Linked DNA regions of Lepisosteus oculatus. The protein of the gene in region 2 interacts with the protein of the main gene of each other region in a pairwise test. Links are inferred from orthologs where the notes say so. Each region holds a gene or a part of one and is shown on either strand. Other genes may lie near its edges.

Region 1 (7,789 bases), on a different chromosome or scaffold from region 2:
TTTTTGCTGCGTACTGCGCCACACGTATTACCGATGTGTGGACATCGTTGACGTACATTCATTGTCTTCGCCCTAATCGTAAAAACCATAGTCGGTCTTGTCCAGTTCGGTATCCCCTGGAAACGTGCGTTCCCCCCGTCCAAAATATGCACGTTATCTCGGACAGATGATTTTTTTTATTCTCCACATATAAAATAATATATGTAACACACTCAAGATACAGCCTTTGCGTGCTTTGTTTCGGGTTTCATTGTGTTGTGTAAAGAATAGTTAAACTTTCACGTGGTGGCAGTATTTTTTTTTACATTACTACTTTACATTACTTGTTAATCCCTAGCAAACGCATTAAATACTTCGAGAGACAGAAATACCCACAAATAGGCTCCTTTTATCCCTCATAAACTAAGGCACAAATATGCACGCAGGAGCTGCTTATACCATGAAGTGTCCTGGAAAGTTTTGGGGAGCGTGTGTTTCTGACACCGGAAATCAGATGTACGTCATCGCTCAGTGGTCTAGGTAATCATTTTGGCAGATCACCACACAGGGAAGTAATTCATCCAGCTGTTTCTCAAAGGAAGGCAGGATTTCTGCTTTAACCACATGGCTGAGCAGCCTGTTCCCTACTCCCACACTCTGTTGTGTAAAGAAGTGCTTCCTGTTCTCAGTTTTGCACTTCCAGGTTACTTCCATACTATTCCAACTCGTCTTAAGTAACCTGCCAGGAAAACAATTGAACCACAGATCTAAAATAGGGATCTCGAATCTTGGTGCACAGGACCTAGACTTCTGCATGTTTTTTTCTTGGCGCGCTTTAACATATCAATGAGCAGAGATTCATTCGTACTTTTTAAGTAAACACTGGATTCACCGACGTCTCCTATGGTCGAGCTGGCGCTGAAACCCGAGAGGGCCGTGTGACACCACAAGACTGCAGCTGCACAGGTAAATGTGTCATCCCAGTGCTCGGGGTTTCTGGTTCGAACCCTCGACCAGCCAGGGACTCCCTGGTTCTCCACACCGAGAACCCACTGTGACCGAGTCTGCAGCAGCAGTAGCTGTTGATCCTGTTAATCTCTGAATGAGCCACTTCAGATAACAGCATCTGCTCAGCAGCTGATTAGATATCGATTCCAATCCGTTCTGGTCTGAAGCATCATGCGAGGATAGGGCCGCCCCAGCCCAGAAAGCCTGCCTGCCTCCCTGCCCTCTCGGCTTTGATTCTGTCTCCTGTGTTGTTTTCTGGGTGTGCTGCCTGTACCCCTCAAGCCGAGCACTGGGAAAACTCGGAGCAATGGACTGGCATTCGAGAGGGTCTCTGGCTCATACCTGCGAGCTGCGCAGAGCCCTGTTAATGGCCTGCTGTCTGGGATCAGGAGCAGAGGAGGCTTGGACCAGGCACAAGAATTTGCCTTACAAGGGGCTGTCTTCACCGAGAAGCTGGGGGCGCACGCAGAGCTGCCCTCCTGCTCTGCTCTGCTCTGCTCTGCTCTGCGCACGTAGGGCTGTACGTACGGCACCAACACATTTCCTTTGTCAAGATGTGGCCAGGTTTGCTTGTTTGTGCACAGCAGTTTATGCAGCAGAAAGATGAGGCTGCAGTGCAGCGCAGCGTGACACTTCATGTGTGTCAGGTGGAGGAGGAGGTGGGGTCTCTGGGTGTTGTCCCAATCCGAGACCCTGCCAGACTGCGGAGTCCCGGCAAATTGCAGGGCTGGTGTCCTTCTCTGACTGATTTTGTTTCTGGGGAACCAGCAAACAGTTTCTTTCATCACTGCAGCATTTGACAAGGATTATATTATAATATTACCGTTTACATGATACCTTTGAGCTAGTTGCATGCTGTAGTTTTTTACCACTTATTTCTAGCTTGTTAAATGTGGTCAAATGCAGAGGTGTCTTCCTGCCGGTGGGGAGAAGACAGCACAAGTGTGTTTTCTGGCATCCAAAACTACTGTACTACACACTTTGACTCTTTTACCTGTTGCAGTGCAGAACAAGCCGGGGAAATACAAATGGAATAGAGCCTCACTGATGTTGACCATTTTTAACAATCTTACCTTCGACCCAGAACTGCTGTACACATGCTGTACCTTTCAGGCAGTTACAAATATCTTGTTTGGTGACATTTTTTTCCTGGCTGATTTTAAACTGGAAGATTTAGCACACTGTCAACCAGTACATCACCACAGAGTGTTTGTGGCCTCTTTTACAAGCCTTAATTCACTGATCCATGTCCATGGTACCACACAGTTCTTAAAATTAGGATGCATCAGATTTATAATTCTTACTCTGGATGTATGGGGAAAAGCATGTTTTAGCTGCGGTTAAGAAATGACCAGTCATATTTCTGGAAAGTAATGCTGAAGACCAGCGAGCCCTCAATGACCCCAGATTTTATTTCATGTTGTTTTTGTGAGTCATCCCTGTGAGGTCAGCGAACATTCATTAACTGTGAGGAGATGCAGTGTTCATGAGGAACATTTCTCATGAGTGGTGACCGGTAATCTTCAGGCTGTTGTCAGATTTTGCTCTCAGACCTCGATCACTGTCTTCCTCAAATGTTAAATTGTCTTACTGCTCTCTGCGTTCAAACTCAACTGCCTGTGGGTGTCATTCTTCGCACTATTGCTACATATTTAATTACATTTGAGGGTATTTAATCCTTTTAGCCGTAAGCTTCACTTCTCTCCTCTTCATTAATTCCTGCATGGACTCTGTGGTGCACAGATCTTAGAAATTTTGCATTTTTTATACTTTTTCCAGTGTTTTTTCAGAAGCACAATCCAATTGCCCTCTGTGATTTTAGCCATTTTGTTTAAAGGTAATGGTTAATATTGACAAATCTGTGTTTTGTAGTACAGAAAGTAGAATTCTAGCTTTATGAAGGTGTAGTGAGTACCAATTTACCAATAACCATAACTATTCCTTACACTTAGTTCTTTTCTGGACACTCCACTCAAAGAGCTTTACAGGTAATGGGGATCCCCTCCACTACCACCAGTGTTTTCCCCACCTGGATGATGCACCAGTATGCTCCCCGCAACACCAGCTCTCAGTGTTAAGGAGAACAGAGTGATGACGCCAGTTCATACATGGGGATCATTAGGAGGCCACGATTGGTAAAGGCCAGGGAGAAATTTAGCCAGGACACCTACTCTTTTTGAGTAGCACCCTGGGATTTTTAATGAGCACAGAGAGTCAGGACCTCGGTTTTATGTCTCGTCCCAAGGATGGCATCTTTTTTACAATACAATGTCCCCTATCATTATACAGGAGCATTAGAACCGTCACACAGACCACAGGGAGAGCGCTTCCTACTGGCCTACTGGAGCACCTGATATCGATCCTGACATTGATAACGTCTGACCAACCAGTTTGACCTCATGAGTAAATGTGATGGATTTAGCACAACACCTCAGATTGGCTCTCCGTGTAGAGTTGAGATGTTGTGATTGTGTTTGTGTAGCTGCAGATCAAAGTGAATTAAAGACGCTAAACGACAGGTTAGGTGCCTTCTCATAAGCTGTACTGCCAACAGTCAGAGTTGTTATAACAGTAGAAAAAAGTAGTGGAGGTTCTGAGTAAATTGTTGATGCTCTTTACAACATACATATATTATAATTCTGGATTGTCTCCAATGTCTAAGACTTTAGCCCAGCAGAGAACCTGGATACATAACTGGTTACAGTGCCAACAACATCAATTTAAGTAAGGTATAAGGTATATACTTAATTAGGTATAAGCAGATGATTTATAGAGGGCTCTTCACATTCAGATGGCATCGTGTTGCAATTATACTGTATATTGTGCTTAAACTGTAGCAAAGGGAATTATTAGTCTGCTTTCGAATCCTGGAGAGAAGCAATTCCTTGTTGTGTTTCCAGTGCTGGTGCCAAAGCTCATTGCTGGCTGGACCAAGCCCAACCTATATTGCATCCCTTTATATGAAGCTTGCAGACAAAATAGCCTTTTCGCCTTGTGCTGTGAAAGATGTTTCCGAACGTTGTGGTGGCACATTAAAAAAAGTCCACGTACAGACTTCATAGGGGATCTACAGGGCCTATAGAGCATCTTGCCTGTCTGCAGATTGACCAGGTGATGTGCTCTAGAGAGCAGCTGGTCAGCAGGTAAATAAAGAACAGCGCTTTTTTCATGTTCGAATTGTAGGTTCGAAGGTTGGTTAACATGAACGTCACCTGCATCTCTCCAATTTATTTTACCTGAAAAAAAAACGAAACATGAGGCTGCTTTAAAGGCCGAGTTGTGGTTGTTTCTGGCTGTTTTCGCCTGCAGAGAGCGTACGTCTCCTGGGAGGCGCGATTCTGAATTTTGGCCTCCATTTGGATGGAGGGGTCCCGGCCAGGAATGTACACAGACAGCGACAGGGAAACCAGGAATGGGGCTCAGGGGGGACGCGTTCCCTTTAAAATAAGAAAAATCCGGCCGGGGGGGGCGCAGTGGCTATCGGTTTCCTGCTCGTATTGTACCTCGTTGCAGCGTCTGCGCTTGGGCTGGGGGTTGTAAGTGAGCCAGGAAAAGCAGAGGAGGGGGGCGGGGGGCGGGGGGGAGGGCCTGGCGTCAGCCGACAAAAACAGCTGTGGGACTGTGGAGTGGAAAACAGTCGGGCATGAGAGAGGGAAGAGGGGAAGAGAGAGACTGACAGAGGGTCCCCGCTCTCTATGGGTTGTGCCTGGAGCTCTGAGTGCTGCGGAGAGGAGCTGTGCCCGGTGCCGGTCGAGTGGGTGCCCAGGAAAGAAGGCCCGGGCGCTGCGGACAAGATGAGGCTGACGAAGGTAGGCTCTAGAAAAATTCAGGGCAGGTCCGGGGCTGGCATTCCGAATCGGATTTGTGTTGCTGGTGCCTTGGGTCTAGGGCAAGTGTGCTGCTTTCTCAGCTCAATCCGGCTTTCCAACACCGGCGCTGGGCAGGCTGTGCAGTGTGTCTTGCTGTCGCAGGTGGCCCAGGATCATCATGATCTCCAGGGTCTGGATCTGGGCCCCGGGTTCCGCCGATGTGGTCCCAAAGAGCTCAGGGACGAATCACTGAATCAGTGTGACTAGGACCCGGGCTGTAGATCTTCGGATGTAGTCAATCTTTTCACCCAGCTTCTCGAACCTGGGCCCAGCCGCTGCTGTGTCATGGCTGGAGTGTTCTTCTGCCCTGGCTGGACCACGGGCCTTTCTGTCTAAGTGTGAAAACTCTGATTAGGTGCTTGCAAGGAATTGGATTGTCTGGAGTAGCCTTCAAACTGCAAAATTAGTGGGCAGTGACAGGATGACATTTAGAAAGCAGTCTCCGGGATCTTGAAATTACTAGGGTTTTTTAGGTTTGGGGAAATGGCTGGACTGACAGAAAAGCATGGAGACACGTTCATATGAGGGGGCAAACTGTACTTTGGGTGCTGTGCATTTAATAGCAGGAATGGAAGCCCAACACCCATTTAGAGGAGGATATGTCACTTTTTATAACGTTTTGTGTTCGGAAACCATGTGTCCAGAGAATCAGGCTATTCCGACAGTGCTGAGCAAGTCCAGAAATTCGCAGCCTGTTTCTGGACCACATGGGGTGAATGTAAATGCACAGTGAGCTTACCCTTTTATCAGTGTGTACTCGCTTGTGTACTGATACAACTCGAGCTCTTAACAAAATATAGGAGCTGATAAGAACCACTCTTTGAATTTCACAGGAGCGACAGTGGTACACATCCAGTATTCAACTTGGATCCTGAAGGTCTAGATAACTGCCTCAGTGTCTGACTTTCATTCCAGTGAATGAACAGAAGTCCTCCTAACTAACAGGAGGGGCCCCAGGAACAGGTGTGCTTGTGCCTGTTCCCTTTGATGCCTGGTCTTGTTCTTTGTCACATGCAGTATACAGTACATGATCTCTGTGTCAAAACCACCTTTGCAAGCCTAGGTGGGTGTTATTGTGCGTTACTGTAATGTTCCTAACATTAAGATTGCTCTGAGGAATGGGAAACTGTCAGGGAGGAGTACGATCCATAATTCTGTTGTGTTCATTGGTGGAGCTTGTGGACCGGCGGGATCTGGCAGAGAGGAACGCCAGAGCAGTGCACTGAGGGACTGGGATTGCTGTGTGTCACTCACACCCTCAGTTTGGCGGTGGACTGGGTGGGAGGGGTGTTGGAAGTTTTCATCTTCTGAAATCTGGGTCCAAGTTCTGGTTCTGGTTTGGAACGCTACCCTACTCACTCTGATGTGCGGGGTATAAAAAAATCTACAAGCCTTGTTTTTGACTGGAATTGTCACCAGTTTGGGCTTCCACCTGGTGCTGAAATCCAGGGAGAATTTAAAACAGCAGAGCATTTGAATTGTACAATTAGAAGTGAATCCTGTTCCGGTGGTGTTGTTTACTGTAACTTTTGTGTAATTTGTGACTCTCCAATGTGACAGTAGTGGTACCCTTGAGCAAGGTGCCTCACCTGAATGGTTCCTGTAAAACACCCAGCTGTGTGAGTTGGTGCCAGTGTAAGTCATTTTGGACCAAAGCATCAGACAAAAATAATATAGCTTTCTCAAAATCCAGCTCCCCTGTCCTTGTATCTGTAATACCTGATGAGGCCCAGGTTCCCATAGCAATAAAGACAAGAACGTTGGCAATGGCTGGTAGAGAGGTGGTGAGCTTTGCTGCCTCGCCCTGGGTTAAATTCTGGGCCTGGGGTGCTATCTGTGAGGAGTTTGTATGTTGTCCCCATGATTGCGTGGGTTTCCTCTAATAGTCCAAAGACATACTGGTAAATTAATCAGCTTCTGGGAAAAGTGGCCCTGCTGTGTGGTTGTCTACTCTGGGATGGAGTGGGGTCCCACCAGGGTGTACCCTGCCTTGTGCCTTTTGCCTGCCGGGCTCCCCAGCTGCCTCAAAACTCTCCTTTAGAACCTGTCAGCAAAATTGAAATTGTAATACCCTGAATTAACCTTGAAAGGCTGGTTGTAGTTAGGGCAAGGTGCTCAAGAATTGAAGTGAGTTCTTAAGCATTGTGATCCCATAGTTTTCTACCAAGAGGCTGAATCTTCGGGACTCATGTGGTGACGTTTTCTGCAGAAGACTAGTGAGATCCGGAAAAGGCGCCACTTCCTTGGAAATGGACGCCAACAGGCCTTTCCTAGCTTCCTCAGCCGGGATTCTCATAGTAAATGCTGCAACTGTCTGTGGCCGTCAGTAGTACTTCCGGATATAGCTTTCCCGAAGCATGCCATGCATTCTCTGGGAATTACAGAAAGCTCCATCGGTTTCCTCCGAAATATTCCATGGAGATCATTATACAAACGTCAGCATTAAAAAAAAGTACTTGGAAAATTTGCGCTCACACACACAAAAGAACATTTTGTAAAATCAACATCCTCTCCCTGTGTTTAAAGGAATATACTCTGTGGCCTCAGTCGATACTGTAGTTGGCCTGTCTCTTCATTCTCTGATTGTTGGTTCAGCTGGGAAATTGCCCAGAGTGGCTTTGAGATCTGTATAACCTGCAGACTGAAATGTTATCCAGCATTTTTGTTTAAATTTTTGGCAATGAAGTGACTTAGCATTTATGGTGAACAGGAGATCTTTTGGTTTTGAATCACTGCAGACTCGTAAAACAGTATTATTTTTTTTAGTTCTGATTTTAGACAAGGGGATTCAGACTCTAGTCCTGGGGTGCTGAGTGTTTTGTTACAAATTAAACAATTAAAAGTTCTTAACATTTTCTTATGCTGAGTTACAGTTGAACTCTCACAGTGCTCACTTCATTAAAGGTTAAGTTAACCTATAAAACAGTGTTGAT
Region 2 (7,639 bases):
CTCGGGCAAGTTGATTTTTAACGCCACCTCCTCCCTCATGAAAATATCCGGATAACGAGTTTTCGCAAAGAGCGCTTCCAGAATGTCCAGCTGTGAGCGCGTGAAAGTAGTCCGCTCCCGACGCTGTTTTCTCGGGGTCGCTGGAAGGCAATATTAAATATTTCAGAAAACCGTGCTTTCTTTTTTATTGCACATTTAACATGCTATGAGACTCACAGTCTGCCGTTTTAATACTGGTGTATTGTAAAGGGTAAAAATCGAAAACCTCATATTACCCCTCCACAGATCATTTAATATTCGTTAGCCATGGGTTAAAATGGTTTCTTTACAATTCTGGACAAGAACTCGACGTGTAAAAGTCTTTTAGCGCTGTTTTGAATGTACCTGCGGACAGACATTACAACGCCATTTCGAGAAGGCTACAAATGTTAAAATACAGTACCATTTTTCATTCTGTGTAAAAATAAACAACAGGAAACATTTCGAAGCGTCAGATTAATTTTTCATGAGGCAGGCCTTCGTTAATAATTAACCCGAATCTGATGCCGGCCTCATGCAGGTGTCACAGTCTACAAAGTTTATGATAGTAAAGAAAAGGTAAGGCAGGTTTTTATACAAAATCATGGCTACCTCATGTTAGTCTGCACTTCCTAAAGAAAAAAAATAAATCAGGCTTTTAGACACGGTAACAAATCAGAGACTAAAACATTAACATTAAATCATAGCTCTGGGCCTAAAAGTTTTCTTCTCTTTTTAATTTAGGGAAAAAATATTTCGAGTACAGAACAAATAAGCCTGAAGCTGGAGCGCAGACCATGCATTTAGATTTTTTTCTTCTCTTTACCTGGATATCCCACTGAAGGATGTAGTAACTCCATAGCTGTTCCGCTCAGCCCCAGCCCGTTCATACCGTACGGGGGCTGTTTGAGGTATGACATCATGCTAAAGGCTTTATCAGGTTCCTCCAAATCTTGCCAATTATTCTATATTCTCTTATATTAAACTCCGGGTCAATAGGGCGATCAATTGAAAGCACTGAAAAATAATCATAAAAAAATCAATTAAAGTCTTCATTCAAGTTACTATCTCTCTGCTAGAATTCAACACGGTGCATTTAAACTCTCTAGAAAGGTTACAAGCCCTGGTGTTAAAGCCGTGCCCACAGCATTTTCGTGACTGGCAGTCGGTAACGTAAAAATGTCGTGAAGTGATTGAAATTTTACTTCAATCAATTTGGTCACAAAAATGAGGAAAGTACTTTTAAGAATTCAAAACACGGGGTGAGGTACGCGTTTATGCACTCAACAGAATGTCAATTTTGATGAAGCGACCCCATTTTTTTAAGTACGAAAAAATACAATTGCTGTATGAAGGAATCAATGGCAGAAATATTACTGTTAACCTATTTATAATTTATTGTATTAAAAACACCTCAAACAGCGAAGTTCGACAAATACAAACCACTGTGTAATACAACCAACACTCCAATATTTTTGGTATGTAGGTGTCAAACTTCTTTTAGATGGAAATGTAGTTCAGCGTTGTTAAAACTGTCAGGAGAAATGTGAAATTGTGGTAATATTAACTAGGTCATAAAGCCAAATAAAAAGTTTTTCAGCTGCGAGATGTTTACGAACTGTAGCTCTCCACTTTGGAATTGTTTTGTTACTGTAATATAATACGAATTCATATTTTTAAATGACGTGATATTGAAATAAGCTCCAAACATATACATCTTAAATCGTAAATTTAGAATTTCCAAAAAAAAAGTGTCACGTTACTGAATTAATTTGACTTTCTAATGTGGCCACCATCTTCCACAAATACCCCCACTATTCATAATTATTAAGTAATATTGAAAACAAATTAACGTGAATAAACAGGAATGTAAAGGCTTCCAGTTATAAACTAATTCCAACTGAAGCAGATAAAGGAAAAACGCTTCAAGGTACAGTTATACATCTGAACGACATGTTGTTTCCAACATTCTTTATCATTTAAAATGTATTCGCATTTCTTCGAAACCTAAACCTGCCAATATCGTATTTTCGATTCAATTATTTTGTTAACTACTAGAACTCCCCCTCCTAATCAAGATAAGATCTGGTCCCGTGCTGTGAAAATGAACCGGCAGTAAACCTGGCGTATTCTGTGTATTTAGATGTTTCTTAAACTACATTTGCAGCTCCACAGGACGGAGATAAACTAGATTGAAAAGGCGAGAGCTCCGTGCAAATGAACTCAATTACAATTTAGATTAGACCTCCAGGGAGACCATTTAAAGAAGGGGTCTTATCAGCAAAATAAATTAACAAAAACCAAAACACGCCTCTCCAATTATCTACTAAGTAGATTCAACATTTTTAATGGGCAATCGGTCTCTTATAATTATCCATTTCCATGAGAATAAATATATAGGCTATATAAAAAAGCAGTCCAAACAATTCTCGCATCAAGATCGAAGTTGTTTTAAATTCCCCATACTCTTTGCTGTGCACATTAATTGGGATCTTTAAATTGTTTTTGGGGCAGCTAAACACCTTCTCTAGAGCGCACAGACAGAACAGCAGGCTTCTCAGACCGTATGTAGGATAGCCTACGTGTAACTTTTATCGAAAGACGTATTGTACACCAAGAAGGTCCATTTAATTATCATATCATCATCATTATTATTAACACAATTAATGCCCAACATTCAGAAAATGTATTGCGCTTATGCTGCACATTAAAATTACTTATATGGCAAACTTCACGAAACAAAACAAGAAACAAACCAAGCTATGCGAGTCGTGTTCATACATGGCAAATTTCTGAAGCGAAAGCGAACTAGACGAAACCATGCAAACTTACCTTCAATTTATTTCTTTTTTTTTTCGATGGTCAACAAGAAGCGTATTTACATAGAACAATATCCAGCAAGTGAAGAACTCTGGGATTCAGCAAGGTGGAAGAAAATAAGGAATTTAAAACTACCTATATCATTCGCTATACTTTTTAATGGTTAAAAAAAAACCCCGTCGTGCGTTTACGTTTCTGTACCAAACACTTGCAAACCGCACGTGTTCGCCGTCGTTTCACTGCTGCAATCAGTGAAAGTTTCCGGGTTGGAAAACCAAATAAATCAAACGCATTACCTTGGCCGCAATGTATGTCTTCCACTGTGTTTAAGGTGATTGCTAATGTAGACCGATGAAGATTGATCACCTTCTCTCCGCCCTGCCCTTCTATGAGTGTGAGACACCTGCGGAACCGCCCCCTCGCACCAATCCGTGAGCGCTCTTCCCATGATTGACGTCGCAACGAGTCAATAACTGAAAAGAGTTAGGGGGAAGCCCCTCCCCTTCATACTGGGAACAACATAAACCTGCAAAGTAAGACCAGGGGGATAGAAAATGTTTTAAAAATGAATTGGTGTTTATTTTGTTGCAATTTCGTTAGCCACTGAACTGAGGGCCGCTAAAAACAACAAAACAGAGTGTTTCTGTCAGGTTGTAGCGGAAAGTTGTCGATTTGCGTGCGTGAACGAGAAAATCTAACCTTTAAAAGAAGTATTAACTTTTACAGTATTTTCTGTTTAAGGATTATTTTTAACAGATACGGAATTTGGCGAAAGAGGGGCCTGTACACGTGTTATTTGAGCAGGAAAGATCAAATCTGGAGATTTTACTTGATCTTTTGAAACGGTTAGGTGCATGAGATTTCTTCAGATGTTACGGATTTTTTTTTCGCAGTGGAGAATTTATACTTTGTGTCACCTACTAAAATACAGAACTAAGCGGCTTTCATCAAACGTAAAATTAAGCTAGTTTTAAGAATTAGGCAGTAGCTACGGGACTTTAATGTGTATTTAATGTGATAAACGTAGACGTATTAAAATTACTATAGGTTTGGGAGCAAAGTTTTTGCAAAATTAAATTTTCTTTTAGATCATGAAATTGTGCCTTACACATGTCCATATTCTAACAAAGTAACAAAGTAGTATAACTTCAACTTTATTTTATTTTGTAACGACCTATCAACTAAAATCCTGAGCAATTGTTTTTTTTCTGCTGATTTAACATGGAGATGGTGTAACATATTGGTGCCAAGATCTGTCGACCAATGTCCTTTGAAATTTAGTGCGCATTATTTCTGTTTTAGTAAATATGCCGAAACAATCTGTATTACATTTTTTTTATTTTAGCAACCATCTCATGAATATTGATGATGAGTTAATCCCCCACTTAGAATTACATTTCAGAATAGTCAGCGTAAAGTTTAATAGGGACTGTCTTTTAACAGAGCGGTTGGGAGGGGAGAGTGAAAAGGACGAGAAAAACCCAACCGACACCAGAAAATAAATGAAATCAGGCAAGAAAGCTCAGTGGCTGGGTATCAAAGAAAGCACCTTTCAAGCGTCACTTTCCTAAAGAAATGCCAATAAAATACGGTAACAGAATATCATGGAGGGCACACTGTTTCCTTAACTGTTTCTCAAAGGGTCGGGATATGTTCTGAGGACCCTAATAAGCCTTTGCTCGCTCCTATTGTTGATCTCGCAAAATCAACTCATTCTAATTGAAGCCGGAGCTGAAAGCGAGCTAATGTTCAAAGACAGTGACCGCCAGACGAACGAAATTACATTTTTGACTATATAGGACGACTAATCAAAGGCAGGGTCTACACGATTCTTCTATAGATCCAAAAAGTCATCGACATGAGCACTTTTTTTTAAGAACAAAGGTGCCGCTACAAAGGCACAGAAGGTTTGAAAACAAAAAAAAAGTTCTTACGTGAGGTGTTTTTTTACACAGACACTGACAAACAGACCCATATAGGCCCATATGTATATACCCGTGTGTCTCTGTGTGTATATGCACACAAGTTTATCTGCATGCTGATAAAACACAGTTTTCAAATACATTTGCACGGATCTGATGTCAAAGTATGTACCCGCAGTATTTCAATTACACACCAATATTTGGATGGACATAGTTTCCCCACACGTTAAACCCAGATGATTTCTTGTTTAAGCGGATCTTTGCATTAATGCAGAAAAAAACGACAACATTGCAGATTAAAATTTAGTTTAAAAAAAACAACAAAAAGTCTTCTTTTAACAATTCGCCAGATTTGCTGTTTTTATTCGTGATCTCTGTTTAAGATGTGATCAACCCTGTGCAAGTATCAAGGTATCAAGTAGCACTAACCTTTTGTAATAAGAGTATTTGTCTAATCCCAAATTGCAGACGAATTTTCTTAATGCTGAGCCTATAAAGGCCGGGATTAAGGAAGCGGAGGGAAAGGGGAAAAAAAGTTTTGTCTCTTTAGCCGACAGGATTGTATTAGATCGTGGATGTTGTTGGGTGCTTATTAAAACCGTGATGCATAAAATACGAAATCTGTAAGAGCCCCAACACAAGAAGATTTGTAACGTCTTCCCTGGGTTCATTTTTTTTGAAAACTAGGAGGGAAATTATACAGGACACAACGGCCGGGGCTCCATGAAATCCGACTGATCAACACCTGTGAGGTGAAACTAGACTTCAAAGTGTTTACATCTACAATACACAGGAGATTATTCCATTCTCACATCGACCTCTTAAGATATTTTCTGCAGTGCTCTTCGTAGCAAAAGACGCATCTTTCTTTCCGTTTTATCGTTTTTTTTTGGGGGGGTTCTCATTCTCCAACGTTACTGCTGAAAAGCTACCAGTGCAGGTAAGCACCGAGAAACATATTTTATAGAATTTTCTGTGTCAAGAAATAATCTTATTCCAAAAATTATACCGGATGTTACAATTCTTTAAAAAAAAGATCGTATGGCGATTTCTGATTGTACAGCGGAATAATGGAAATCCATATATCTGTGAATTAGGAGCGCATCTGAAAAGTTCATTCGAAAACAGTTTAAAGTTCGAGAAGCTAAAATTAATCTCAGTGTAACGTGAATATTGGCTACAAAATACAAATGATAATTCTACGAAAAAAGTATGTTTTTCTTAATGTTAATACTAAATATACGGGCTATGTTTGCCCTTGAAGCGGTAGCACTTATTTGAATGACTTAAATCATAGAAATAACCCAGATATTTCCGATATACATATATTGATATAATGTAACCGTCTTCCGAAAGTCGTCGTTAATAATTTAAAGTTTTTTTCTCATATAAGGTTGATACAGTTGTTCTATTAGAAATTCTAGGACCATTAAAAACAAAAGGCTTTACATGAATATAAACCATTTTCCCGAATTGTTTTGTGATGGTATTAAAATGGTTATGCTGTCGATGTTCTTTGTACGCCAGTGTTCTTGACAACACTGCTACGGTTGCATCAGCGGCCAGAAAAGTACAGTGTACCTCGGAAAATAATGAACTGGAAAGTGTCGCGTCCGAACACAGGTTTTTTTTATAATACTGTGCTTCCCAATTCATATTTCTTAAAAAATAAATGTATTGAGTTAAAGAATTAACAAAGACGGGTATTCATTCAATGCAGCAAAGTTTTTCGGAAGTGCATTCGATTGTGAACGTTATAAATTGCAGGTTATTCAACAGATCACGGTCACCAATAATAACAACATCATAACGAAAACAAATCGCCTTAGAGGACATAATATGGGTATACAGTTGGACCCAAGCAGAGAGCCGATCAGCAAATTAATTTGAAAGTATTAGAAAGGCCAGAGAGGACGTCAGCTGTCAAAACTTATTTTTCACTATTTAATCACAGTGATGAGGACGCAGTGATGAGTATTTCGTGGCTGGTGTCATTAAGAGGCGGCTCTTTATATATAAAAAACCTTGCTGGAGAAGGGACCGAAGGTAAACAGATGTTCCGTACAAAACGATTTCGTCTAATCTGCCTCTCAGGAATGAATAATCTGCATTAACCTAAATTAAAACAAAATGCAAACACTCATTTATAAATGAATTTAAAACACGGGGGAATTCGGTATAACTCCTTGTTAGAAGAATCATTCAGATTCAACTTATGTTTTAGCCTATACATCTTACATTATTTGCACTGTAGACTGGTTGCCTTTTCTTTTTAATTGATGTGTCCAATTTAATTCCAAAATGACATGTTGTAAATAATGGCAAAGTAAACTTCGGGTATTTTACTGAAAACAAATTTGCAAATGCTAAACAAATTAATGTAGCATTTAAAAAACCTATTATTCATTATTTTCAGCAAATACTCGGCGTTTTATTATGAGCACCCCGTCACTTTCTTAAATGTTAGTGGGTTACAGAAAACGCTTATCTTTAAATGTGATTTTGAGATTTTAAGCCCTGACGGGTGAAAGGATTGTGCAATTTTCTAACCCTCCACTCTAAACGGATACCCGATTAAATGGTTCATTATCGCACGCAAAAACGTTATTTGAAATAGTCTGCGCTACTGTACTTTTTATTTTACGACTTCGAAGAAAAAAAATTAAAATAGCGATGAAAATAACGAAAATGTTATTGGTCGTGACTGCAAACTTTATAAGCATGTACACCCCCAGAATTATATTACACTGAAGAAATTAGAATTTATTTGAATTCTCCACTTTCCAGCAAGCTAAAATCTAAACAGTTTGGAAAGACGGATTAATGCACGCGTTTCTCAAAGTTTTTTTTATGGTTTTTAACTTCCTACTAATAATATA
Region 3 (8,101 bases), on a different chromosome or scaffold from region 2:
AATGACTAAGAATGTCATCTTGTAGAAAATTAGGAAATCTGTGGCTTTGTATATGATAGAGCAGGGAAAAAAACACAGCTGCCTTTTGAGGGTACTTAACTAAGGGTTTAGAGAAGGCAAACTGCTACGCCCTAACAATTCACACCCAGTGATCAGTCCGGATCAGCTCTGTTAGCTCTGTTTTAGAGCTGCCGCTAAAAACTGGCAACCTTGAACATCAGTGTAATGACTTTTCTCCCCTTTCTCTTTATCAGACAAGCTACGGACAATCAACGTTAAATGTGAAAACTCTTGCGGAAAAAAGCATATCATCACAAGTCCCGTTCATCGCAATTATTGGACTTTCAGAGCCTCGTCTAATCAAAGCAATTGAATGCTTTTATGAAACCTAAACTTTTAAATTTAAGTAATGGAAGGACAAGCCATTGGTGTTGATTAGGAAAACAGCTCAAAATAAGCAAAAACAAAAGTTTCAGAACACACAAGCTTTCAGAGCTGTATTTTCTTAATGCAAAGAGAGGGCCATGTTCCTGTAGGCTATATGGATCAAGCAATGCAGTAAAACAATTTGGCTAGTTATTTCAACAGAATCAAATCTGCAGATTGGTAGGATTATTCTGTTCAAACCAAGCTTACTATCCAATTCTCTGGAGGTCTTATTTTAAGAACACTAATTCTGAAATTAATTAAAGCACAATTACCAGTAATACTTCTAGCTAAAAAATGACCCTTCTAAACTAGCTCCCCTGTACAGCACCAGGGCTGTGCACCTCTCCTGGATCTTCTGTCACAAATTCCACTTTTTAACCAATTTACCAGTTAATATTCCTTTCTTTAGAAACAATGTATTTTGTTACACTGCTAGAAAAGAGTAAACAGCTAATTCACATTCAAAGAGCAGGTACTATCAAGCCTTCAACACAACACCTTCATGCTCAGGGTCGTATTTACAAACTGTCTGTCTAAAACTGCTGTACAAACATCTTGTCACTCAGGAAGTACTAAACATGCCTCCCAATAATGTTTCCTATTATTATAACCACTTCATTAATACAACTTATTTTGGGCGAGAAGAAAGCCAAGCTTATTTCAAAGTTTCAATTCGCCTAACAGAATATCCACTGCACCACACTTGAAAACTAAAAAACCATTCAGTTCTGAACAGAGACCACAAGGGTCTTGATTCACATTCACAAACAGTACAGGTCCTGACAAAGTCAGCCAGAAGAGCTTGCCAGGACCAGCTATGAAGCCTGAACCAGGATGTACAAGTGCAAATGCAGAGAACAGCGCTGCTCCTAGATCACAACCACATCACACAGGTCAGGTGGGTCAACTCTACATGTAACTGATCTCAAGTTCATACGTGGAAAATAACATTACTGTTCCTGGGCTGCCTTTGGCTGATGTGTTTAGCGCCCATTTGCACCCTCTTGCATAGCTGGGTATTCGGCGTGAACCTGCTCCTGGGGCGAAGCTGCATCAAGCAGTTCAGCTGGAGCACCTTGCTCAAGGGGACAACAGCAGTGCTTCGCCAGGAGGCTCGAACCCGCATCCTTCCAGCCACAAGTCTAGAACTCTGACTGCAGCTCCCACGACCTCCCCAATTCCACCGAGACATTATGGGACAGGTTTGATGGGCAAGAGTGGAAAAATGTTTGATCTGAGAGGATTCGGAAAGATCTGTGAGGGTTAAAACAAACGCACTGTGCTAAAGAACACTGTGTGGCTGTGGTTGCCAACAAAAGGAGATTGTTTTTATAAGCATTTTTGGCAGACTGAGTTTTTATATTAAAAAGCTTATAAATGAAAACTGACATTTATTCTGATCTTTCTTTGTTTCCATATTTCTCGCAGCTTTGACCACCAGTGTGTGCTTATTTACAGTAGACAGATACACAGATGCACTCACACCCATGTGAACATGATGTAATAACTATAAAAGAAAATAAACAGGTTATTTTTTTAGTAAACTATCTTCTAATCAGGAAGGACTAATTCATTATTTGCTCTTTACTGCTGCTTCAGCACATATTCCCACTTAATAAAAACTTCTGCCATGGTTAAAAGCATAATGTATGCTTAACCCACAACCCCTAGTGTCTGGAACAGCACAGGCATTCAACCAAAAGAAAAATTCGGGAGAAGTCAGTTGAAAAGGTAAAATACTACAGCTGCTATATTTTTCCTTCTCGTATCATACTTTCACAGATTCTTGAGTTAGCTAAGTCACCGTTAACATTTTCATCTTCCCTTTACTAGGAAACAGCAGCTTTTATCAAGATCTTTACATCTGAATCCTTACATGAATCCGCCAACCTTCACCTCTGCGGACATGCAAACTACCGGCAGAACTGTGGTGCACAAACTACACTTGCTGGAAAAAAGGCACCCGGGCTTGGACCACGGCAGGACTGTAACACGAAGGACGAAAACACTTCCAAACAAAACCTCAGGCACCGCGGCTTCCTGCCTGCGCATCACCCCTCCCCAGAGCACACAACACGCTGAAGCCCGACTGCCCGGCTGCAGCTGCCAAACGGGGCGTCTTGGCAAGAGGCGCTGTGGGCTCCCGGACTGGGGGGACCCGGGCCCGGCGGGCAGAGGCTCCCCACGCCGCGGCGGCGCACTAGAAGACCGTGAGCCTGGTCCACCCCCACCGACGCGCTTCTCGCACTCGACCCCGCACAGGGCCTACCCACACCGGAGCCCCGGCCTCTGCCGCTCGGCCGGACCGCCTCCGGCACGCCTCTCCTGCGCCCGAGACCCGCCGGCATCGCAGCGGAGAGGACACACCGCGGCCAGACCCCCGCGGCACCCCAGAGCGCCCCTCGCCCGCTGCTCACACAGTGACGTGGCCGGATCCGCGCACCACCACCGGGTCCGGCGAGTACTTGAGCAGCTGCTCCTCCGCGGCCCGCTCCTCGTCCTCCTCCTCCTCGTAGATCTCGTCAAAGTCCGCCATCATCGCCCGCTCGCCTGGGCCCCCCCGGCGCTGCGCTGGCCCGAGAGAAGCGCACACGGTGGCAGAGCGACCCCCCGATACCAGCAGCCCCCCGAGAAACTGACACCCCGAACAAACTACCCGGCGAGCGGCGAAGGCGCAGCCTCACAGCTCGAGAGCAAAACAACAACATCCGCCGCCTCGCGAGAGGTTGCGTCACGCGGCGCGAGAGCGGAGCGGAGCTCGCGGGAGGAGTGCGCAGGTGCCGGGGTCACGCGCTCAGCGCTGCGCGGCTCCGCTTGCAGACTGAAGCGCACACACGCTCACGGGGTGACCTGAGACCGTGGACGACGCACGCCTTGGCGTGGGGGCCGGCCAGTCCTGCACTCGGCAAGACTGCCCCCCTCTCACCTGCGGCATCCAGAGCAGGGGGTCGTGGGCAGGAGGGTGTTTCTGCGTGGGGGTGTCTGGAGTCTAAGAAAGCCGCCCACTTCAGCAATTCAGGAAGATCACAAGCACCAGAGGGAACAAGATCAGTCACCACAGTCATGCCCCTCTACAGCACACTAAGCGAGAAACCTCGAGTCCCACTCAGACTGATGAAGCTTCGTGTTTACCTTTATATAGGTCGTGTTAACGTCGTTGCGAGGCTCTGATCTCTTTAAGCACTCGTCACCAATTAAATCATCCGTCTGTTCATCTTCAGTCCAATTACACACGTGGGAGTTGCAGCGCAAATATCTACATTTTTTATTGATTTTTACTAATGATTTAGAAATATAAAAAAATACTAAAGCAAATCATCACAAAATAAGGGAAACATGATGGTCAAATAAATTTTGTACATAAACATCAATGCAATATATATCATATATACAGGGAGGTCTATGGCTCACAAGAGCTCCCAGCAGAAACGTATGTTTCCTGCATAATCGGGTGTAAAAATCACCAAGAACAGAGGTAGCTCATTTTTTTATAAGAATACGACACTCACGCCTGGAAACCAAAACACCAGAATTTGTTTTATATTTTATTCTCACAGTCTGCTCTGAGTTGCTCTCAGGTCTTCATGCATGTCCTGGGGCTGTGCCTCTGCGTCCCGTCACCCGGTGCTGCTGGTGCTGCTGCAGCTGCCCTCCTGGGGGGCAGCAGTGAAGGGGCCACCGGTCCCCCCCTCTCGGACCCAGGTCCGTCTTTCCGAGGAACAGAGCTCTGGTGCTTGACCTGGAGGGCAGACGTGCCCAGAGTTGGGTCCCAAACCGCCAAGTTACTTCATTTAACAGGTGCATCTTTAGAGACCGGCGATTTAATGATGATGTACAAGAGCTGCTGGACTACTGGTGAAACAGCGGTGATGTCTCGGTGAGTGATCACGCCCTTCCTCTTTCCCCTGAACACTCGAGAATACTGCAGCCCCCAAGGGGGTGATGTCTCTGAGCTGCCGTGCAGCACAGGCATAGTAGCAGCCATACACATTGGACAGCATACTCTCATCACAACGCCCTCCGGCTCACGTGAACTGGGATACAGCAGAAAGTATTCCAGGCATGTAATAAATAGGAGAGAAGGAGGACTGTAATGTGACATGAATACATAAACCTGTTTAGCAAAACCAGAGCCCTCTGTTATGTCGTACTGCCATACACAGACAAGGAGCTCAGCTTTAATGTATTAATTAGTGATAAAAGCAAAATACTGAATTCATAAATCTGTGTGAATAAGTTTTATACCATGATCAGCTATACAACAACATTGTGCTTCAACACAATTGTTTGTCATCTGAAGAAATATAAATGATTAGGACCACTTTGTACAATAAAACAAAACCATAAACTACATTCTATATCCCAAAATTACTGTTTGTTATATGTGGAATTTGCCAGTGGTGGAAGAGATGGAATGGAATGTACTGCACCTTTGTGTTTTACAGAGGGTGAAGAGGCTCGCTAGTCTGCCTAGCTAGTATAATGCCTTCAAATCCCACAGGCATGTGATGCTTGTATACATACACACGTTTAAATGTTAAATTAACAGTTAAAATGTCTGGAAGTACCACATATACGGTCTTAAGAGAAATTTTGAAAGGGGTTTCCTTTTTGTTCAGTTCTTGATAGGTACATGTTCATAAATTTGTAATTAAGAACATAAGAAACATCATACAGACTTCTGGCTGTCATTTCTAACTAGATTCCATCCTGAAATTTCACTGAATGATCCTCGGGGATCAGTTCAACACCTTGGAATGGACCAGCACACAAAGAAATATTTCTTCAATGCAGAAGGTCTGTGCAACAGTTTCTTAATGACGTCCCTCTGGCACACAGGAAGGAAGAAGGCAGGTCAGAGGGGGGCTCCCAGGGAGAGGTGTGGCACCTGAGTCTGGCCTCCTGGGGAGCAGAGCCAGGGGGACAGATTCCTGCAGCCAAGGCACTGACTCTGGAGCATCGGGAATAAGGAACCACAATGCAGTGTCACCGAGAGTGTGTCTGCATTATCTTCCCATTGAAATTAAGACAGATTTTCAGCACTTCGGATCAGTAAGTCAAGCAAGGAAATTGGTCTAAGGGCTGTTGTATTCTTCCCCGTTACTCACTCTCATTTACTAATAAATGTTTGCTTAGTCTTATGGAAACATATAACTGGGTATTTGGAAAGAGCTTTAATAAGTAATTTGTGCTTGGATCGCCGTAAGACAGTGACTATCCATCTTGCCTAATGAAGCAAACTTTTGGGGAGCTTTTGAGGGTCACACCATCAAGTCGATTGATACTTCTTTCTGACTTCTGCCTTTTCATAATTGAACTACAAATTCAAAACACATTTGCACAGTGAATACCTCTTTCTAGAAACACTGGAGTCCAGCTTTTCAACTAAACCCTTCTAATCCTCTGCAGATAGATTCCCATTAGCCTTTGTTTCAGTCACTTTCCAATTCGAACAATGGGGACTATTCAGTTGCTTTGTTCATATTAAATTATTTGTCATACTTTCCTACTGAATTTGTCTGATTTTCATTCGCATGTGGAAACTGCTTTATTGTAATGCCAATAAAATTACGTTTTATTAATATCTTGGTAACAAGAATCCGTTTCACAATGGAATAATTTTAGTGTTGCTCAACATACATGTACATGAAAGTTAATGTATAATTTCAGTACTTTATTTTTGTGCAGCTGTCACAGGATAGGATATAGTTTACTATAGGATATGGTTTTATTAGATATATTTTCACCTGTTTCAGTGACATTGTTGTAAACATGAAATCATTTCCATTTGTTTGGTTAGAAATCCTGATTTCCAACATTGTACAATTTAAGAAGCTCAGGATGCTATAGGTATAATAACTTGAACTTGAACTTTATTGCCATATGTAACAATGGAACAATGGAAATAGTACCATTAGTATAATAGTATAATATATAGTATTAGTATAGTATAATAGATACAACTCAGAAGAATTTTTAAAGACCGATGTGTCCCTGGGTAGGCATATACAGTACTTAGCTTTTTTTTGTGAAAATATAAGATTACTGCAAACTGTGTGACTCTACACTGCTATGAAATAAACATGACTGTACTGTATGTGCTTGCTCTCGTCTACAGCACTACATGAGTGGTTTAAAAAAAGATGAAAAGGCCAAGACTAACCGACCAAGTTCCCTCTGGAACTGCAGGGTCTGTAAGGGTTTATAGAGCTAAAAACTACTGCTGGTCACCTTAAGAGTGATCTGCGTCACCCCCTGATGGTGTGGCCATCCTGTAAGTAAAGCTTTAGCCTTTTAGATTCAAAGTATTTTCATACATATTGAAATCATATCTGTTAGGAATTCCCCTTCTCCATGTTTTATTCTATTTCCATCCATCTATCCATTTTTTAACCACTTCAACCAATACAGAGTCACAGGGCCACTGGAGCCTTCCCTGGCAAGCAAGAAGCACAAGGCGGGATACACTCTGGATGGGACGCCAGTCCATTGCTGGCCAAATGACCAATATAATTTTCTCAAAGTGTTTTCTGAGCTCTGCCAGCTGGTGAATAAAGTTCCCAAAAGCCTAGAAAGGATGTACATCAGGGCCCAATCCCAATTCTCTGGAGGTGAGAGACAAAAATGTAGCAAGAACATCACTTTCCACAGTATCACAACCCGGAAGCCAAATACAGTGAAATCTTGGCCAGATTTACTATCACTTCTATGATATGGGTTTGTCAAGATAGTTTGCCTTTCCTGGCCAATTGCAGTTTGTTGGTACCTTGGACACTTGTTATTCAAATTTTAAAAAGTGGTAAAGAAAATTCAGTTAAAAAGCTTTGGATACACTTTTGTGTTTCCTTATAAGAGCATGTTAATACCATCTGAAAATAAGGATCTCTTGAAAAGGCTTCATCTCTCTCCTAATGAAGGAGAACCATCAGCAAAAACATGAGCACATGCAGAATAAGTCCATTCAAATAATAGATTCTGGAAAGAAGTGACCAACACACTCAGCTGAAAGTTTTACAAGGTAAACAACCTGAATGAAACGATCTTGAACTCTGAAGTCAAGTTCTCAAAACCTGTTATAACATTTAACATTCTGGAAAATATAGTGTATGTTTGTCTTGTTTTTTATGAAAAAAATGAAATAATGTATTGATAATGTAGATTAAACAAGTTTAGTCCACTGCATAAATTGTGACACAAACTTTGTTTTCATTGATGCTATAAAGCGAATTTATTTTCTCAGAACAAGGAAAACAGAGTGGGCATTACAGCTGGTATTCTGTTTAAAGAGATAATTGTTCCTGAAATGTCACTCCTGTGGTATTATGTTGTCCCCTGGATCATTGTTCATTTCTGTTACCATTGAAGACTATTTTGAAGACCCGAGTGTTTCTTTTCAGTTTTTGGTATTCATGATCAGTTGCCTAGTAACTAATAAAAGAGAAATCACGCGACTATATTAGCCAAGATGTTCCACGGGTTGACTTACCACAATGCAACTTTGAAAAAGGCGTCCATACAGCTTAATGATGGTCTTTCAACAAGATATTAATGGATTTCTTCACGGTATCGCCAACATTGAGAATAAATAGGTATCACAACGATTGCAAAATGCTGAAATATGCCCACGGTAGCTTAGTCCGGCTACGCATCACGGTAGCTGAGGTCTTCGCGC
Region 4 (8,393 bases), on a different chromosome or scaffold from region 2:
ATTTTGTGTCAGGACTCTTCTTAAAGCAATATCCTATCTTCCCCACTGGACTTTTTTTTTACCGCACTGATCTTTGCGGGAAAGCTTTGTGCCCGTACGGTCTCCGTTGGGAACATTCTGCAGGATGAGCAATGAGGGCCTGGAAGTGAGTCACACCTCTGGAAACCTTTAGAGGACTTTTAAGGTTCTACAGAGCGAGCAGTTAGATCAAGACGCTGGAAATGTCAGAGCCCATGGGGCCGGGTTAGCACAGGGCCTCAGCAGTGCTCCTAATAACCAGTCGAGAGGGAGTTATTCCTGCATTTCTAATCCATGGGAACACAGCGGAGCTTGAACAGGGACTCCAATACAGCTATTTCAGAGCCGAGGCGCTTCCTCGACTTGTGAAGGGCACCAGGGTCCTTGGGGTTCTAAGTCTTTGCCCCTGGGTCCTACAGGAGGCTCCTTCTACTTGACTGACGGCCCGCGACTCAATAAGACAAGCACAGCGGTGCTCAGGCTGTTCAGCTGTTCTGCCATTCTCACTGATTAGGGAACTGGAGAGAAGCTAAAATGTAACAGGAGAAAGTAGAGCAAAAAGTACAAAAGTGTCCTTGTCAACAAATATGTCATCTGCCCACACAATTACAGCTGCCTTCAGCTGTCAATTATTTTTTTTCAAGAAGTAGGAAAAACAACTTAATTTCTCACCATTGGTTATTCATTCATGTTGGTGAGCTGCCTTTTCCAGAATCCTGATGTGCATAAAAGTTTTGTCATGTTTAAAAGGTAATACAAACACTGGATTTCACCTTGCAGTTAAAGATTCTCCGGAAAGATCCTTTTTGGCTTTTTAAAGCTTGTTTCTTATCAATCTGGAAATGAAAGATTTCCAGGAGGTCCTTTATTTGTTTTCAAAGCAGTATTTCCTTGCCTGAAAGCACAACAAACCTTGAAAATAGTTATCTTTTAAAAAAGAAAAGACCTACAGTATCTCCAGACCTTGATTGTTGCTACCAAATGGAGCGGCAGTTCTAGAGAAAGAAGGAAAAATAGCACCATTTACAAAAAACTGGTATCCTTAGGAAAATTATGCTCTGGGTTTTGATTTATCATGCCAGCAAAAGATAGTCATCTATGCAGGAAACTAACCACAAAACCTAAGCTTAGGAAAGGGTTTCATGCAAAAACAAAAATATAGTTACAATTAAGCATATGTAACATTGTTTTATTAATGTGATAAATTGCAAAGCTACTGATAAACCACAAAAAGTAGATGCTCCCACTGGCTAATTATATTAGAATTTGTTGCAATGACTGCTAGCTATGTACAGTGCTTTACCAGCTGTCTAATGGCTTGCTGATTGGTTTTCAGACATGAACTGGCATAATAAACCACTGGACTGCCTTCAGTAAGAGAGCCTTAAAGTAATTGCTCATACTGGCAAAGAATATTTATGCCAGCAATCGGTATCATAAGTGGAATAATCTTAGAAAGAACATTGCATTTTTCCTGTGATGCTCCCATCACATTGGTATAGTATACCCTGCTTTTTGGTTTAATCAGATAACACAAATAAGGAAAGTTTTATGGTAGTATTTTTCCTTCCTCCACATCCCCTGTGATCCTTTTCGTATCCTTTTTTTTTTACTAAGGAATTCATGAAAAATCACAAGGAATTCATACATCCTCATTCTCTTTCTGTTTTGTTTAATCATCTTGACAGTGAACAACAAAAATAAATGTTTCAGTAGGATGCTACATACATCTATGCTGACTGCTTTCACAGTGGTCCCCAGTTTTTCTCCGAGAGATTGGATTTTTGAACTACATTATTTATTTCGTCGTTGCTGACATCTTTTGAAACTGTTTTAAAAGCTGGTACTGAAGCAACAGGTTTTTCGGGTGAGGGACAGTCTCGCTGGTACAGCCAGAGGAAAGCTCTGGGTTATGCTGCAGAAATATTTTTTCTCCAATTTAGTCTCACACGCAGCAGTTCAGAAGTGGGAAGTGGCCCTGTGACCTTAAGCACTTCAGAAAGGGTCATCTTTGTGTCTGCCAATTCACAACTAATTCCGAAAGCAAGTCTGATGAAAAAAAAAACATGTTTTTAATGTTTAAACTTGGAAAAAAAAACACACAGCAGTACTTTGAACGTGTGTCAGCAGTACAATCTCTGCACTTCCTGATCAGCTGCATATTGAAGAGCCAGTTATAATCACTCCTAGGAATCTGACAAGCTGCCTCTAAATATGTTTTTCATTGTAAAAACGTATTTCACATCCACTACCACTGCTATCTTTAAGCATAGTAATTATGAATTTCAGTCTGTCATAAAGACCTATGGTGGGCAATGAAGACAAGAAACAAATCGAGGACAAAGGTACTACCAAGGACTTTTATCTTACAACTAGCACTTTTTTAATTGTGATTTCTCACTTCAAAATGCAGTCATGTGGCACTACAGCAGTGAACAAAAATCACTATTTTAAAAGCAAGTCAGAAGCATTATTAATTGTGTAACACACAGGACAGAGAAGACTATGAGGGCACCTGATTTAGGTATTCAAAATGCTCAAAGACATTGCCAGCATTACCCCGATTGTCTTCCTCAGAATGAACAGTGAAACACAAACCAGAGGTCACAAGTGGAAATTATGAAGAAGTACATCTAAACCATAAACCAGGAGGCACTTCTTTATGCAAAGAGTTGTGGGAGTCTGGAACAAGCTGACCAGCCATGCTGCTGAAGCCGATATACTAACATCTTTCAGGAACTGGCTGAATGAGACCCCGAGTTACAATTTGCTACCAACAGGTTGAATAGTGCCAAATGTTCTTCTCCCAGTTGTGTCTGCTCCTACATTCATATCTAGTAGCCATTGTTCTCTGAAAATGACTGATGTGTCCTTTTGATGTGCTATTACATGTGCAGTTTAATTATGTCAAAAGTTATATTCCAGCTGACAATTAATTTTTGCAAAATAGGCATTCCCTCAGATGTAGCCATTCCCACAATGAATTGACACGCGTCCACTAAAAATACATGTATTCCTTATTTTGGAGCTTTAATGAGTGTGAAATCAAGTATGGGGGCTTTGACAGATGAAAGTAGGTTAAAAAGTTCTAATAATAAAGGCACGCCACCGTTTCGTTTCATATTGTTTAAGCATACAAGGAATATAAAAATGTCTGTGCTGCTCGTCCAATTAAAAAAGAAATCTGTACGAAAAGCGGCAGACTTTGCAGCTGCAGAGAGACCAAGGCCATCTCTGTGTTTTATGGCTGTTGGCTAGAAGTGACTGACACCACCTCTCACTGATCAGTTCTGCATCACTTGAATCCTTGGTTATTTCACCTCAACCCACAGCACATTGAAGTAATCATTTCTTCTTAATCCGTCTGATCTTATTACTTAATCACAGACTGCATTGATTTTTTTTTACATCTCATTCCTTGTGACCTTCTCCTTTGGGTTTGCCCAGTTTATCGTTATCTTTTTGTACAGTATAAGAACAACAGTCTCAGAATTTTGCTGTTAGCTCATTCTAAACTGGCTTAATGTTTCTTAGAAGCATTTGACCAAAGTCCTGAGCTGCACAGCAGTGATTAGTCTGCTGGTGGGGCCACCTCAGCTCAGAAATGGATTTTATTGATTTTCTTTGCTACGTGCACCTCATGATTATAAAGTTTGAGTCTTAAACAAACCAAATGCCTGCCTTCTTGCTGTGCAACCGAACCACAAATAAATATACCGCCAATTATTTTTTTTCTTGATAGAAGCCAAATAAAACAGATAGCACAGCCATTAACCCTCTACTGCTCAGTTCTGTAAAATCCATTTTTCTGAGGTCACGAAACCTGCCCCTATTATTTTATCAATTCCTGATTTTGAACCGTGACTGTTTAATTAGAATGTTACAGGGATCTTTAAAAACTATTGGTTATTTTACCTAAGCGGAAAATAAGCTCCTTTAAAATGCCTGTATTGGTAGTCTTTAAGTATATACTGTAGGTTAAAGTGTCAGTACTTTAAATAAAGAGGATTTCAATGCATCCTGATTCAGGAATTAAAAGTATTTTTAGACAGTTATTGAAATAATTGATACAGAAAGAAAACAACAGAAAACTTTACGTAAAATGTGTACTGTGTTGAGTGAAACAGATATACAGTATATGGATATATGGATACGATGACTGCTGTCATGTTTGGGACATCAATATGGTGGGATAGGTGGGTTCAAGGAAATGGGGGTTAAGTATATCCCCTAACATGTCTGCCTTTATAATCTTGGCACAATTTAACATGTTCCATTTACAATGAAAGAAGTTTCTAATTGATTGATTGGATCAATGGTGGAATCAGTCCACAGGAATACATTCCCTGCCAGTTGTCATGTAACAATGTTAACTAGGAAGAGCTGGAGTCAAAGTTATTCGTCAGGATTGAAATTGCACTGTCAGTCATTTTGTCTGTTTTTTCTTTAGTAGCTGACAAAACCGTTTGTTTTTTTTTTTTACAGTAGCTCTGGAAAACTTCCCGTGTGCTGCTGGTGTCAAGATGTAATTATAAGATGTAAAACAATTGTCTGTAGATGGATGATGCAGAAAATAAACTACTTTAAACAGAATAATAAAAATGCGTCCCTATGTAAAAGTCCAGGTTGAGCTTATTTTCAATTTAAAGTCATGTGCTGCTTCTGCACACGCAGTTAAGGGATAGGTGTGTAGTCACAGTTTCTCACTACTCCTCTAGAAACCATAAAAATATTTGATAAATTCGCTTTGTAAGTTCTCTTTCCTCATTGTATTCTGGAGACAAATACACAAATAGAATGTTTGATTTAGAAATCCCTCACCATCAGGCTGTATTAGTGGGGGGTATAATTGTTCCAGCGATGCGTGAATTTGTTACAAATACTCATCACGGGATTTTTTTTTAACTTGCTAGGAAGAGTTAGTCATGTGAAGTCACACCCTCTGCTGTCCATGGTAATTAATCCAACCGGAGTCAGGGTCGAAGACTGTTTATTGCAAGCTGTATTGTAATTCATAAGATATCCTTTAATTTAGGATTTTTATTCTCTATATGTTTCCTCTTCTTTAGTCTGTTTAATTTATGCTTGAGGAGCAGATGAAGCCTGTGGTATATAGTAAGGCAGTGGCCCCTATAGGTAAACTGAAGTATTAGCTTCTATTCTAAGGTTTGTTGCATTTAAGGAATCTCACGCATAAGGCACGTTTGAACAGACTGTTTGGCGTTCACATTACAAAACTCGTATGAATATGCCTCTTTTACATTGAGTCTGACATTTATTATTGCAAAGTTTCGCAGAGGCCGAGAGCTTTTTGTCCGAAAATAAAGTGCGTATTATTTTGCTCAGGAAGGTTGACTTTTTATTGCGACAAGTAACCAAACTACAGAGAGCAACACCCTGGCCTTGGCGTTCTTTCTTTCCAGAGACAGTATTCAATGGTGGGAGGCGGGGGGGGGTATCTATTTTTTGTTCATGATGTTTCGGGCACGGAAAAAAAAAAGCTTTTCATTAAAAAAGACGCCTGAATTTTAGTCCCTTGAAGAAGCCAAGCGCCACAGAGCTTGCGTGGACTGGTCTGAGGAGGCAAAACCAAGTCATGCAGTTGTCTCTAACGAGACGAGCCCCTTGCCTTGTTGTGTAAGCGACGGCGGTTCACAGGCGCTGTCCGTGGTGCTGAAAAGGGGAACGCGCGCGTTAGCTTTCAGAGAGCGAAGCTGCTGGGACGAGCCGCGCCTGTGCTCTCAGCTCGCACGGCTCTGGGCGTATTTGAGAGAAGGATTACAGTACTTTGCACCGGTTTTGTGAAGCTGTGGGGTTGCGGTCTTATCTGTGACTGTAAACGGATTAGTCTGCGGTTTGCGTCTTGTTCCGCTCCTGCATTGATGTCCTTTTACATCTTCTTTCTTTCCTCTGTTTCGAGTCTCCACAATCGTCTCGTTTTCTTCAGAGGGCTTCTGGAACAATTCATTCCTCTTGCTTTCCTGTTACATCTGCGCTATCTGGAAGTCCCGTGAGCATCCTTGCTTCACAGAAGACTGAAAGTGCCATCGAAAGCCAAGAACTTTAACTTCTTCATCTCTTTCGGAACTTCGGATAAAAATCACAAAACCGACATTTCAAGAACCCAGAAAATATTTTTACTGTTCTTTTTTTTTCTTCTTTTTTTTCACCGCGGTTATCACTCATCGGCTCGGTGGAGACAAAATTGAAAGTAATGAGTTCATCCAGGTTATATACGAAAATAAGCGTGACGCCCCAGCTTCCAGAGAAACGTGTAGATGGGCAGGGGTACTAAAGTCTCACGTCGTTTTCAATCACGTCTTGTTGGGGAACGGATTATTATCTGCCTTCTACAACCACATGGTTAAACTCTAAGCTGGACTGTATGTCTAGGCAGTCCAGGGGGGAACTGGACTCGCTTGATACCGACTTTAACAAAGTGGAACCAGAACTATAAGCGCGGTGAGTCCAGTAATACCTATTGCAACTTCATTAAATATGGCGTTGTGATTCCAATCTATTGCACTGCATTCATTTTAAGTCTAAACAATAGACAAGTATAATATATAGTATCTCCTCTTGAACACATCTGTTGCTGTTTTCCACAATACGCCCATAGAGGAACCATTTCCATTCTCAATGAATGTTAATGTTACACGGGATGTATCCCAACTAAATAGGCAATTCTGAAAAAAATAAAACGTGATATCAATCCTTACACGTCACCGCGATTTTTTTTTATTTTTTTTTATTTTAGAAAACGCAACGGTATCTCAACGACTTCTGTAAAGGTTCACTTTTGAGTCAGGCAGCTGCAGCGATTCTGGTACAGCTGTACAGTACGTACAACATCTGCCAAGACGCTGAAATCGGATTCAAGTCATGTGCAGTTTGATCACTCATTCTTATACTGCCGTGAGGGGTGTTCCATTAGGAATCGAACTCGCTACCTACCTGTAATTTGTTTTAGCAAATTGGAATTAACCCGATTACATACAGGAAGAAGTAACCTCTGATTGCCAAGTATTTATTAACAGATTATTGATCTATATACCGTTATATACTGTATATATATATATGTTGATTAACGGAGTAAAGACTTGCTACCTGCTGTTTGTGTATTAACCAGGCGTTCCTACTTAACACGTACAGTAGTATAGCCATAAATAGTTAAAGCTTTACGTGCTCAAAAGCTTTCGATGGCCGTCTGTTGAGGCTGTTGTAATGTAATCAAAGTTATGAACAGCCGAACTCGTTCTTCACCCAATGCTCTCGGTTTCAATGAGGCATTGTCTCTGCTGTCAGTACAGTTTTAACAACAAAAATAAACGTGCAAATGTGTTTTCTGCAAGCTTTCGGCAAGCGGGAGCGTATTTAGCAGTCTAGCTCTGAGGGCTACGAAGTGATCGAATTAGAAGGGGGTGGGTAGGACTCTCACGCTGTCGCGGGCGATTGTCCAAATTATTTTGACAAAGAGGCCAACTCGGAAGACCCTGTTTCCGAGTTCTCTATGCGAGAGGCCAGCCGGTGGGGGTTGTCTTTGCCACGCTCTACAGATGACTAAGAGACAGAAAAGAACTGGTACTCGTACTGTAAATGTCGCCGGCGCTTTTATTTCTCCCTCTCCATTAAAGAAAAAAGCGCTACCTGTACCAATAATGCATTTATCGATACATTAGTCATATCTTCTGTCCACAAGGGTCAGGCAGATCTCTGTTAAGGCGGGTTGCCCCAGCTGAAACCTTAATAGAAGTTCTATTCTTGTTGTTCTGACAGAACAAGGCGAAAGGCAACAGGCAACAGGAAGCCCAAATTATTTTCCTGTTCCGTGTGTTTTTGAATGAATTAAATCTATTTTCCCCCCACTCCGAGAAGAAATTCTGGTTCTGACCAGCACTTTTGCAGTGAATGCCAGGAACATTCACATTTTTGTGTGAGAGTGAACACCAGACAAACAGTATTCCTCTTTTGTAAAGTATTCTGAATAATGTTTAGACTTTTGATTCAGAGTTAACGGTAGGCCTTAGTGTGCTGTTTTTTTTTAAAAGCCCTTAAAAATTTGAACCTCGCTGTGGCCTTCATAACTTCCTCCCAAATCAGGAAAAAAACATTAAAGTGCCTACCGAATCGTATAGCAACAATCACAATTTCATTTTGCAGGAATGAGTGGAGCGGAATAGTTATTGTATTATTATTACTCATAAGAATAATATTATTATGTGCTAACTCAGAACAGGTTCTGTTCCCTGGTCTGTTATTAAGACCCCGATCTTTTAATGTCTAGGAAATCCACAGAGAAGGATGGGCCCTCTTGTTCAAGTCGCTTGTGTACTCCTTCTAGCCTTCGAAGCCCCCGTCTCTCCGGCCGCCATCAG

The links.
Region 1: the proteins of otx1 (region 2) and tns2a interact in binary tests that used the Homo sapiens proteins (3 or more experiments, as listed by UniProt). The two-hybrid records come from large-scale screens. The link is inferred for Lepisosteus oculatus from reciprocal best matches to the Homo sapiens genes OTX1 and TNS2.
Region 3: the proteins of otx1 (region 2) and cysteine-rich hydrophobic domain-containing protein 2 interact in binary tests that used the Homo sapiens proteins (3 or more experiments, as listed by UniProt). The two-hybrid records come from large-scale screens. The link is inferred for Lepisosteus oculatus from reciprocal best matches to the Homo sapiens genes OTX1 and CHIC2.
Region 4: the proteins of otx1 (region 2) and vwc2l interact in binary tests that used the Homo sapiens proteins (3 or more experiments, as listed by UniProt). The two-hybrid records come from large-scale screens. The link is inferred for Lepisosteus oculatus from reciprocal best matches to the Homo sapiens genes OTX1 and VWC2L.

Annotation. Positions count from the first base shown.
Region 1 is NC_090696.1:17,524,453-17,532,241, forward strand, and holds the start of tns2a (tensin-2), read left to right. Parts: upstream 1-4,597; 5' UTR 4,598-4,682; coding exon 4,683-4,796; intron 4,797-7,789. UniProt on the Homo sapiens protein: Tyrosine-protein phosphatase which regulates cell motility, proliferation and muscle-response to insulin. Phosphatase activity is mediated by binding to phosphatidylinositol-3,4,5-triphosphate (PtdIns(3,4,5)P3) via the SH2 domain.
Region 2 is NC_090712.1:9,476,692-9,484,330, forward strand, and holds the start of otx1 (homeobox protein OTX1 B), read right to left. Parts: upstream 3,225-7,639; 5' UTR 3,135-3,224; exon of another isoform or gene 2,851-3,134; intron 1,036-2,850; 5' UTR 942-1,035; coding exon 845-941; intron 141-844; coding exon 1-140. UniProt on the Homo sapiens protein: Probably plays a role in the development of the brain and the sense organs. Can bind to the BCD target sequence (BTS): 5'-TCTAATCCC-3'.
Region 3 is NC_090696.1:78,484,435-78,492,535, forward strand, and holds the start of cysteine-rich hydrophobic domain-containing protein 2, read right to left. Parts: upstream 3,283-8,101; 5' UTR 2,969-3,282; coding exon 2,847-2,968; intron 1-2,846.
Region 4 is NC_090707.1:8,198,123-8,206,515, reverse strand, and holds the start of vwc2l (von Willebrand factor C domain-containing protein 2-like), read left to right. Parts: upstream 1-5,212; 5' UTR 5,213-6,480; intron 6,481-8,302; 5' UTR 8,303-8,319; coding exon 8,320-8,393.